Canis lupus familiaris: one gene and its partners. The protein of the gene in region 3 interacts with the protein of the main gene of each other region in a pairwise test. Links are inferred from orthologs where the notes say so. Each region holds a gene or a part of one and is shown on either strand. Other genes may lie near its edges. The genes, in order: GSE1, NEU4 and TRIP6.

What was found.
Region 1: the proteins of TRIP6 (region 3) and GSE1 interact in binary tests that used the Homo sapiens proteins (3 or more experiments, as listed by UniProt). The link is inferred for Canis lupus familiaris from reciprocal best matches to the Homo sapiens genes TRIP6 and GSE1.
Region 2: the proteins of TRIP6 (region 3) and NEU4 interact in binary tests that used the Homo sapiens proteins (3 or more experiments, as listed by UniProt). The two-hybrid records come from large-scale screens. The link is inferred for Canis lupus familiaris from reciprocal best matches to the Homo sapiens genes TRIP6 and NEU4.

Annotation. Positions count from the first base shown.
Region 1 is NC_049226.1:67,507,987-67,511,627, reverse strand, and holds part of GSE1 (genetic suppressor element 1), read left to right. Parts: coding exon 1-27; intron 28-288; exon of another isoform or gene 289-1,263; coding exon 1,264-1,376; exon of another isoform or gene 1,377-1,684; coding exon 1,685-1,955; exon of another isoform or gene 1,956-3,527; coding exon 3,528-3,641.
Region 2 is NC_049246.1:51,661,141-51,664,801, forward strand, and holds the start of NEU4 (sialidase-4), read left to right. Parts: upstream 1-835; 5' UTR 836-984; exon of another isoform or gene 985-1,073; intron 1,074-1,519; exon of another isoform or gene 1,520-1,614; intron 1,615-2,539; 5' UTR 2,540-2,639; exon of another isoform or gene 2,640-2,731; 5' UTR 2,732-2,878; intron 2,879-2,899; exon of another isoform or gene 2,900-3,194; 5' UTR 3,195-3,267; intron 3,268-3,661. UniProt on the Homo sapiens protein: Exo-alpha-sialidase that catalyzes the hydrolytic cleavage of the terminal sialic acid (N-acetylneuraminic acid, Neu5Ac) of a glycan moiety in the catabolism of glycolipids, glycoproteins and oligosacharides.
Region 3 is NC_049227.1:8,843,672-8,847,383, forward strand, and holds the start of TRIP6 (thyroid receptor-interacting protein 6), read right to left. Parts: upstream 2,930-3,712; 5' UTR 2,626-2,929; coding exon 2,517-2,625; intron 2,259-2,516; coding exon 2,131-2,258; intron 2,045-2,130; coding exon 1,919-2,044; intron 1,632-1,918; coding exon 1,254-1,631; intron 962-1,253; coding exon 868-961; intron 759-867; coding exon 589-758; intron 1-588. Other genes in the region: SLC12A9 (solute carrier family 12 member 9), read right to left, coding at 3,473-3,712. UniProt on the Homo sapiens protein: Relays signals from the cell surface to the nucleus to weaken adherens junction and promote actin cytoskeleton reorganization and cell invasiveness. Involved in lysophosphatidic acid-induced cell adhesion and migration.

The DNA of each region.
Region 1 (3,641 bases), on a different chromosome or scaffold from region 3:
GCAGGCGGCGTGAGGCCCAGGAGAAAGGTGTGGTCTCTCTGGGGGCTCTGACCTCCTGGGACCGGGGGGCAGCAGTGCCAGCCCTCCTCCCACTCCTGATTCCTGCTGTGGGCTCAGGGAGCAAGTTCATTGGCTTCTGTGTTGCTACCTGACAACCTCTGCTGGGGAGACAGACTTGGGGCCCCTGCCGGTCCTGCTACAGTGCAAATTGTCCCAAAAAGCCAAATCAAAGCTCTCTGGAAGAATAGTTCCACAGACACGCATGATTAATAAATAATGAACAGAGGCTAATAAGACGATTTTAAATATTAATAGCGCAGCATAACAGAGGAGGAGGCTGTCGAGAGAACAGGCCTGGGCCCAGTGGGGGCTCCTCAGGGGTTGCCATCCTCGGTGGGGGTAGGGCAGGGACAGATCTGGCCCCCTTCCCTCCCTGCTCCTGCAGTGGGAAGGGCGCTGGTGGGGGCGGGACTGTCAGCCAGCAGGTCCAAGGTACCCTTGGCTGTCTCCTACTTGCACACCCTGTCTGACCAGGAGGGGTCAGAGGTTGCTCCAGACCAGTTTTTTTTTTGTTTTTTTTTTTGTTTTTTTCCTGCTAGAAACGAGTCCTATTGAAATCAGTCTCTTAGCCAGAAGCTGGGACCAGGGCCAGGTCTTCCCAGGGTTCTTGCTCTAGGCTAGATTTAAGGCCCCAAAAGTATTTTTCTCCGCCACTTGTCTTGTGAGGGAGAATGAGGGAGTGCCCCATCCAGTGCCCTCGGTGCAGGGGTGCTGCTGCTTTCTACGTGAGTTTCTGTGCACATTCTCTGCCTTAGGTGGGGACCTGAGTATGCCTGGCCCCTCCTGGGTAGTGGACCCAGATGGCCACAGCAGGAGGGGAGTGGATGTGCACACACAGCCTTGGGTTGCCATGGACACGGCCCCAGGCCTGTGGGATGAATGATTCCCTGCAGAGAGATCATGTCCGTTCAGGCCACCTCAGCCTCATCACTTGGGGTCCAAAGGAAGCCTGGCATCTGCCTCCTGCCGTCTCCACCCTCACCCCTCACCAGCCATCCCTATAAAGTGCTAAAATCCTAGGACTAGGGGTTAATGCATGTTTCCACCTGGGATAAAAGGAATCTGGGGTTTTGGGGTGGTCAGGGAGGCCTGCAGGTCTTGGTCTGATGCGTGCTTCTGTACGTGTCACAGAGGGGCCCCCTGTGTGCATCCACTGTAGGATGAGGCTCCTTGCCCAGCCCAACAGTCCTTTCTTGTCCCCAGGATACTACTACGACCTGGACGACTCTTACGATGAGAGTGACGAGGAGGAGGTCAGGGCCCACCTCCGCTGCGTGGCCGAGCAGCCGCCCCTCAAGCTGGACACGTCCTCCGAGGTATCTGGAATCTCGTCCCCGTGTGACAGGTTGTGGGTGGGGCCTCTGGTGCCCCCATCACTTTCTGCTTCTTGGCTTCCCTCCCACTGTCCCGGGCAGCCCCTCATTTGCTAGGAACCCCTGCACCCCTCCATTCCCATTGACTGCAGGTTGTCTGGAAGCGCCGTCAGGGTCTTCCGCGTCTGTGGCCCAGTGTGGAGTTGGCCACAGCTCATGGGCTGCATGGACCCCAGGAGGGAGCCCCTGGGACAGTGGAAGCATGCCACTGCCAGTGGTTTCAAACTCATTTGTTTTCTTTCCCAATCTAGAAGCTAGAGTTTTTGCAACTTTTTGGCTTGACCACCCAACAGCAGAAGGAGGAGTTGCTGACCCAGAAGCGGAGGAAGCGGCGGCGGATGCTGAGGGAGCGAAGCCCGTCACCCCCGACGATTCAGAACAAGCGGCAGACGCCTTCACCGAGACTGGCACTGTCCACCCGCTACAGTCCTGATGAGATGAACAACAGCCCAAACTTCGAAGAGAAGAAGAAGTTCCTGACCATCTTCAACCTGACTCACATCAGTGCCGAGAAGAGGAAAGGTACAGCCTAGTGTGGGCCTCGTGGGGTCGGGTCACTCTGCGGCCACAAGCTTCTGGAGAAGCAGGGGCCGTGGGCTCCTGGGAATGTTCCATGCCCACACTCCTGGTAGGATCTAAAACCACTTCATCCTGGGGCTCTTTCTATTCCCTCTGGCCCCCAAGGAGGCAGCTACTTTGCTTGCACGGGCCTACCCCAGTATCGCTCCAGCATCGACTTTCTCTCCATCCAAAATGCAAATTCCCCTCCTTGGAGGGCATATCTCTTGTCACATCCTGTGCAGGACTGAAGGCTTGGTGCCATGTGTTCTGTGTGTAAAGCCTGCTTTTGACGGCTGCTCTTGTCACTTGTCAGACCTCCCAGTGCTTCAGGCAGCAAGTGGGGCGACTCCTGGGCGCAGGGTCGCAGTGCACCATCCTGCAGGTAGTGGCTGTTTACTCTTGGCAGGTGCTGCCGTGGCCCACAGAGCTTTGCGTTCTGACAGCAGGAGGCTCGGGGTGGCCTGTGGTGGCCAGGCAGAGCCAGCATATGCTGTGAATGGGACAGCTTGCCCTGGAAGGTGCTTCCAGGTCCATCTGGCCACCAAGGGCCATGTTGGGGCCACCTTTTCAGGCTGGAGTCCATAGCACAGGAGGGGTGGTGCGGTCTGAGCACATTCTCGCCTCCCCTTCCTTGGTCTGGCCCATACCTCACTTAGTGCCAGGAAGTGAGTTCAGGTGAGAACTCCACCTGTCTCGATGCTCATTTCCATGCTTCTAAGTCCAACTTGCTGATACCTAGGTTGTCACTTCTCTGGAAGGAAGTCAGAAGGAAAGCAGAAGTGTTACTGGTCACATACTTGCTTCCACTTACTTCATTAGTGGGGTGTAGCCGTGTGCTTTTCGCCTTTAACCTTAAACTGGAACCTGCGCATTCTCTTAAAGAGGCAGTGACTCATTGATCACTGGCACCTGTCCCTGGGAACAGCCATAATCTTGTTTGTAACAAGCATCTTTTTGCCTGACTTAATTCCTAGAGGAAGCCACCAGTGATGCAGGCACTTCGGTGTCAGTTGGTAACAAGTGCCACCACAACAGGAACTCACAGTGGTGGGCGTCACGGGGGTCTGGTTCCGTTTCAGTAGATGGCAGCCTTGCTGGGACTTGTGCACGTGTGCCAAGAGCTGTAGGGGAGAGGAATGTGCCTGGAAGCAGCCCATGCTCCCAGAGGTGCTGTGTGGATCTTCACGGTTGTTCCTTTTGTTGGGAGCTTTTGTGTGCCTGAGTCTTTTAAATAAGAATAGTGTCGGAAGTCACCTCTGAAGATCACGGGAACCCATTATTTTGATGTATGCACACAGCTATTTTTGGAATGCATCTAGAATGCTCTGTAGCAAAAGCTGAGCAGAATCTGAGCTAACCCTAAAATGAAAGTTTCTTCCTTTAAACACAGCCTGTTCCCCTTGGTCCTTGCTTTGCTCTTCTTGATTTAAAGGACTTGCACCTGCCAGTGACGGCTTGGGCTAGAAGCCTGCTCCCCTTCCCTCTCAGCAGTGATGCAACTGTGTTGTTAATCTCAGGCTGCTTTTCTCATAGACAAAGAGAAACTTGTTGAAATGCTCCATGCCATGAAGCAGAAGGCACTGTCCGCAGCAGTGGCAGACCCACTCAGGAACTCTCCGAGGGACAGTCCTGCTGTCTCCCTGAGCG
Region 2 (3,661 bases), on a different chromosome or scaffold from region 3:
CGGTTGGAATCGAGGGTATTTGCTTTTGCCTCTGGTTGGCAGGAATGTAAACTGGTTTTGTCTCCGCAGAAGGAAATTCGGGATACTGTTACACTGTAAAGGGCACACGGTTGGAGGGAGGCGTGTCGGCAAACAGCCGGGAAAACCATGCAAACACCCGAGTCTCTGCGCCTAGGGAAGCCTAGGGGCACAGATTCCGGCACAGGACTCCCTTCAGCAGCCGGACGGAGAGACACCCAGGCCTTGGCAACGACAGGTGGCCGCGGGGGGCAGGGGCCCCTGCCACGGAGGAAGCCCAGGAGGCGGACCTTCTGATTTGTCAAGAGAAGCTGGAAATACAGGTTTTCCTGTGAAATCTCCACATTTAAAACGGCTGGTGTCTCATGCAAACATTTATCAGGGTGGTGGTGGGGGCGCGGGGGGGTGAGCAGGTGGAGGGGATAGAGCTCCAAGCTTCCAGCTTCGGGCCGGCTGAGGGCTCCGCGTAGAGGGGCGCAGCTGTGTTGTCTGCGGACACACGGTGGGGTGGCCGCGTGCTCCTGTCCCCTCAGCACAGACGATACAGCCTCAAACTAATAGAATATCGTTTGTCACAAGCAAAAAAACCAAAACAGAGCGCCCAGCTCTCTCGTGTGTCTGTAGAGGAGAGGGGATGGGGGCCTAGGAGGAGCCGTTCGCTCCCCTCCATGAGTGGACAGGAAAGATCATTACGAGCATACTTAAATTTTTTTTGAGTATTTTTGGGAGCGTCTATGAATAAAAGCTTTTCAAACGGTGAAGTGTTTGTCGTTCAAGCATTCCTCGGTGTTAACAACGTAAAACAAGCAAAGCCACACCCCAAGTCCCCGAGCAGAGGGAATGAGGCCGGTGTGTGGGCCGCCTCCTCCCGCGGTCCCAGAGGGCCCCCCTGCACGGGCCGTGCGGCAGCTTGGGGGCGCAGCGGGAGGCCCGAACCCTGGGCACAGAGGAAGGGAGACGGTTTGGGTGAGGCCCTGGGAAGTGGGGGGTCGTGTCTGATGTGGAGACGCTGGGGTCCAGATCGAACGACCAAGAGACGTGGTCGGCGTGCAGAGGTGAAAGCCCAGGGGCAGGACGCGGGCGTGGGAAGAGCTGTCCCAGCCCGAGGTGGGAGGGGGCGAGGGAGAGCCCAGTCGCCAAGTGACTTTGGGAGCCAGGGGGCCATCTGTGGTTAGGAGAGGGTCATTTAGCACCGGCTACCGGAACCCGGGTCCTGAGCCCCTCCAGATGGACACTGGGGGTTGTGTGCCAGGGGAGGAGCACCCACATGTGTTGCGGGGAGAGAAAGCCAGTTTCCTAAGGAGTTTCTACAGGTTCAGGTGGACTCGCAGGTCCTGGGGGGTCAGGCTACGGTTGCCCGCTGCCCTTGGCAAGGTGTCCCCATGGAGGCCGCCGAACCCCCAGAGGAGGGTCACTGTGCCCTCCTCCAGGGCCTCAGTGGGCTGCCCGGAGTGAGGACATGCACTGTCTCACATCCTCGTCTCCCCCTTCCCGTCCACAGCACAGCCTGGGCTTGCATCTGGGCACGGGTGGCCCAGGGTACTGACCTGGGGGTCTCCTTGCTCCTCTCCCCAGGTCTCCCGAGGACCTGAGCAGGTGGGTGGGTAGGCGGTCTCCAAAGGAAGCTTGGGTTGTAGGCAGTAAGGGGATCGAGGGGAATACCTTGTCCCAACTCCCGAGCCAGGGTGGATGGCTTCCTTTTATGTAGGGTCAGGAGGACTATTCGGGAAGGGGAGCCTTGTCATTGTCTGTAGAGGCGTAAAGTCACGCGTGTGCCTTAAGGAAACCTGCCGAAACGTAGTCGTCGTGTGTGATGTCCGTGCGGCTCGTGTCCTCCCAGGGCAGGGGTCTTAGTGTTATATGAGGTCAGGGCGACTGTGTGGTCGCCCGTGCCCCGTGGTCCATCTGCACAGTGAGTCGGGGGTGCGGCTCCCACAGTTCGGATGGTCGGGCCCCCAGAGCTCTTCCTCCGGGCCAAGGTTATTGCGGGGGGCAGGGGGGCCAGTTTCAGTGTCCATCCCGGGATGCGGCACCTGCTGGGTCTTTGCCCGAGTTAAGAGACCAGCCGGAAAGAAGAGCTTCAGGAAGAATGTGGGAGGGAGGTCAGCGGGTGCACGCGGGTGGGCAGTCCAGGTCAGGTGCTGGGGTCTGTCCCGTGGTCCTGCTGTCAGAGGGCAGGTCAAGGGGGTACAGGTGGGGCGCAGGGAGCCTGAGCAGGACGGCCCTCCAGAGAGCCCTTTCACCCACACCTGGGCTGCTGAGGGCCCCCCTGACGCCCCCGGGCGGCGGTCACCTGGACACGGTCACTGGTGAAAGGGCCCAGCTGGTGGGAGTCCTGACCAGGCCACGGGTGGGAGTCCTGACCAGGCCATGGGTGCTAGGGTGGGGGCTGTCCCCTCCAAGTCTGAGCCGGCCACCTCACATGGACACGGGGCTGAAGCCCAGTGAGAGCCCAAGGGGCCTGCGTTCTGGGTGTCCGAGCCGTGCTGGGAGGGTCACGAGTGCTCACTTGGGTTTCCAGGGGCAGGTCTCTGGAGGAGGCTTGGAGGCAGCAGAGATCTAGGGGTCAGCTGTCAGCTGCGGCCCTTGGCACCCGCGGTCCCAGCCCAGCCTTGTTGGAGGTGAGCCCCTAGTTCCAGGCACTGCAGGGCAGAGAGGGCTTCCCCCCCTCCCGCCGTGCCCATCTGCACCGCCCTCTCTGGGGGCCACACAGCTGGCAGGACGCAGCCCTGGGACCCCGCCAGTCCAGGCTCCCGCCCCGCACAGCCAGCCCTTGTCCCTGCTGCGCTCACTGGGTTGGAGAAGCAGAAGCAACTGCAGCTGCCCCGCAGCCAGCTCCACGACCTTCCTGCGACACCCGGTGAGTCCCCTCCCTGCTCGCCTGCCCCCGGCCCCTCAAGGCTCCTCTGTCCCCCCAGGCTGCCCTTGGGCAAGGGCGGGGCACACTCGCGGGCTGAGGGCCGCCCGGCCATATGCTCCACACGGTGTCCCCGTGGGACAGTTTCCTGGTCAGAGCGGCAGGTGCCCTGCAGGGCCCCGGGGTAGCCGCGGAGAGCCGGTGACCTGGCTGGGGGGCTGCGGGTCAAAGTGGGGGCGGGCCAGCCTGCAGGAGTGTGGGGCCCGGCTCCCCCAGGCCAGTGGTTTGTAACTGAGTCCTGGCCCCCGGCACGGCCCAGGACATTCACCCAGACTGGAGACCCTTCCGGAAGTGACAGGGCCAGGAGGCCCCTCCGCCAAAAGGCCAAACACGTATGCAAAACCCTTTGCTGTTGATAGGCACGCATTTAAGTGACTTTAAGTGACCCGCAGCAGGCTGGGGTCCTGACCTGGGCGGGGGCGGAGACCTGCTGATAGGAGGGTGGGGGTCGGGGGACAGCTGTCTGGAGGGTGGGATGTTGGGCACAGCCATCCTACCCTGCTCACACCAAGCCTTGGAACCTACTGATGTGGCCAGACCTGGCCAGCTACCCCTGAGGAAGAGAACTCTTCCTCCTAGGTTGAGGGGGTCGCCCTGGGACTTTGGGGTTCTGCAGAGACCCGGGCCCACATAGGATGGCCCGGGGTGCCCTGTCCTGCTCTGTGCAGGCGGCAGTGTGAGCAGCTGGTCTGTGCGGCCTCCATCTCTCCTGCTTGGCTCCCCAGG
Region 3 (3,712 bases):
CCAGCACTGTAGCTTCCTACAGAAGTGATCCAGTCTCAACTTCCGTTTCCTACAGTAGTATCAGCTGCTTCACAGGGGCAGCAGTGTGGAAATTTAACATATTCCCTTAACTCAAGATAAGTCTGGTCTCCTCCTCTTCTTCCTCCTCCTCTCACATTTGTAAGGAACTATTGTCCTTTCCCTCCAGCAGCCAGTAATTTCACTACTTTCCCAATTCCTTCCTTCTTACACATCAGTTTAGTCCCCCAGCTTGGAGTTCTTTTTTCCTTTAAGACTTTATTTATTTATTCATGAGAGACACGGAGAGAGAAGTAGAGACATAGGCAGAGGGAGAAGCAGGCTCCCTGGGGGGAACCCAATACGGGACTCAATCCAGGGCTCCAGGATCACCACCTGAGCCGAAAGCAGATGCTCAACCACTGGGCCACCCAGGCATCCCCCACCTTTGAATTCTGTCCCTCTCATGTGCTTAGACATCTAGTTTCCACCTTAGATGGAAGCCTCCTGCCTCCTGCTACCTTAGATGGAAGCCTCCTGCCTCCTGCTACAGACTCCAGCACCCAGGCCACCCCCAGCACACCCACTCACCACATAGCAGCTCTCACAGTACGCCCTCCTCTCCACAGCATAGAAATGTTGGCCCCGAAGCTGGGCCCGGCATGTAGAGCACACGAAGCAGCCAACGTGAAAGACCCGGTCCAGGGCCACAACGCCAGCCCCATCCCCAACCACATCTTCCCCACAGCCGCCGCACCGCCCTGGGGACAGGGAGGGACAGGGTCAATAAGCATGCAGAATGGAAGGTGGATTCGCTGTCCCCTTGACTCCCCAGTCCCCTGCCCCCCTTCCCACCTCAGGTCAGCTCACCAAAGTACTCCCCGGTGGGAGGATGGTTCATGTCATGCACCAGTTTCTTCGTCAGCCTCTCAAGCTCTTCCTCAGGAGGCTGGTTCAGGGGGACCTGAAAGGGGGGAGTCAGGGGTTCAGCCCTACCTCCAGCTCCCTATGCTGTCAGACTTTCCTGAAGGGGACCAGGCAGTTCCAAGCAGAAAGCTCATCTGACGAGGTCTCAGCCCGGGGCCCAGGGGTGCACCTCCAGGAGCCAGTGTACAGCTCCAGCACCTCCCTCTTCTATTTCCTGACCAGCGCCACATCCCTGGGACCCAGAACTCCAACACCCCAGGACTCCCCACCCCACCCAATCAGTGTCCAGTTGTCCATGAGGACCCCACATCCCAATACTTAGGGCTTACCTGGGGCCCATACGCGCCTCCTCTTCCTCCTCCTGCAGCCTCCTCTTTAACCCCTGGCCCTGGCTCATGGTGGCTCCTATAGCCAGCCCCCCAGACTTCACCTTGGCCTGGGAGAGGAAAGTGAGGGCCCGGGAGGGCCCCGGAGGCCTGAGAGGCCCCCCGCCTGGGAGGGCCACAGCCTCTCACTGGTTGTGCCACCTTCACTTGCACAGGGAAGGCAGGGCCAGCGGGGGTGCTGGCTGTAGCATAGGAGGCTGGAGTGGGGCCCCCATAGGGAGACGCTGAGAGCTGTTGGGGAGGAATAGGAACACCCCCTCCATTCGGCTTCAGGGAGCCTGAGCCTGTGCGGTAGGCATGGGGCTGAGGGGGCTCATAAGCCTGGGGAGAAACAGACCAGGAGTGAGAAGGCCCATTCCAGGACACACACTTGTGGGCCCTCCCACGTGTGTGTGTGTGTGTGTGTGTGTGTGTGTGTCCCCAAGGTAGTGCTGGTCTTTGACAAGCACTCAAGAGGCTGACAATCTAGTAAGATGTGATACTCCTGCATGTATCACACATGGGGGCAAGGGTGAAGGGTACCAGGTTGAGAATCTAGGGAAAGGACCAGGATGGGGAGTGTGGAAGAGGGCAGGAGACAAGGAACAGGGGTGGGACAGGGAAGTCACCTGCCGGTCTGACCGCCGTGGGGCATGACCACGACCTCCATCCAACTCAGCCAGCATGCTGGTCAGCGAATCTATCTCGGCATCCAGACTTCCTGGACGCAAGGCCCCCCTGTCTGGGGGGAGCCCCTGGAGATGAAGAAAAAGCAGGGAGAATTCAAGTCACTTGCCCCGGGTGCCCCCACCTCCCACCCACTCCCAATTCCAATTCTCACCTGTGAGCGCTGGGGTGCTCCATGGCACCCCACCCAGGGGAACCCCCGATCATCTGGTCCCCCGGGGGCCTGGTAACACTGCTCAGATGGGAGGGGGCAAAAATTGACCCTGGGGTGGGGCTGATGTGCTAGGGTGAGGGAAAAGAGAGCCAAGGTGGGGATGGGGAAGGAGGGGAGGGTGACACTTATGGAGGCCGCCCTCATGGGTCACTCTTCTCCCCTCCCCCCCCACACTTGGAGTCCCAGAACAGAGCAGGAGCAGGAAGCCGGAAGGGCTTCAGGGAAGGGGTGGCAGGGACAAGCCAGGGGCAGGAGGCAGGAACCAGAAGGCGAAGGTGAGCTCAGAATGGCCAGTGGCCTCCTTGGCGGCACTGGGGCTGCCTTACCTGCTCCATGGGCTGGCGGCGGCCCCGGGGCACCTCGGGGGAGTGCTCTCCCCTGAGGGGCTCTTGCAGGCTCCAGCTGCCTTGGGGGGAGCCAGGTGGGCCCCGACATGGCCGGGATCAGGAGACTCTAGACAGCGGTCAGGCCCCACGTAGCCCCAAGACTCTGGTCTTGGCCCCTTCTTCTGTCCCACACCTCGTTTGGAACTCCAGGAAAGAAACTTTTTCTGGCCTTTTTTTTCCCCTTCCTCCCCAATTTTGGGGACAGCCACGCCCCCGGTGACGTCACCACATTCCTGGGGGAGGGTCACGTGGCCCCCTAGGCCCTAAACTGCCGTCCCTCCCCCAGTCGGCCCCCTCCCGCCGAGCAGGGAGAGCTTTCCAAGGCTGCCTCCGTTTCACTCGTTCCCCCAGACTGGCGCCCCAAGTCCCGCACGTGGCCACCTCGCCGCTGGGACGCGCTCCAGCGCGGCTCTTTCCCACACTCCCCCAACCAGATCTCTCTCTTCCCGCCCCACCTACCGCCCCTAGCAGTGCTCAGCCAGGCCAGCCCATAGTGTTTTGGTCTTTTATTCACGTTCAGCGGTTAGAAAAATAAAACAGAACAAAAACATCACAACCTCAGGGGTCTGCGAGTCTGTTGGGCAAGGGGAGACTGAGGTAGCCGAGAGTCAAAGCAGAGACCCAGCCTCCATCAAGGCACCAGTGAAGGAAGGGAGGCCAGTGGGGAGGGCTGCTGCCTTTCTCCCCCAGCGTGGTGGGGACACAGCTGCCCTGCATTAGTGCACTAAAGCCCCTCTCACAGGGACAGAGGGGTGCCCCAGCCCAGGATCCCCTAGTACTTCCACAGGGCTCCACACCCCACACGTGGAGCAGGCGGGAGGCTGCCCTTCCCTTCTGCATCCACTGATCAAAGCAGGTCACCGGACCTGGGCACCCTCTGCTCCAGGCCCCGGGCATCAGAGATCAGTGCAAGTGACTGGGGTGACTCCGTGAATGAGTAGCGTGGGGCCCAGATCATGGGTCAGAGTCTCCAGGAGCGCCAGGTAGCGAGTGTAGCAGGCAGGATCGGCGGGCGGCCGAGGCAGGTATAGGAAAGTGAGGGCTGTGGCAGGCCCACCTTCGCCATCCGCACCCTCAGGCCCACCGGGCCCGCCTCCTCTGCCGCGCCCCTGCTGGGCCCGAACCAGGGCGTTAGC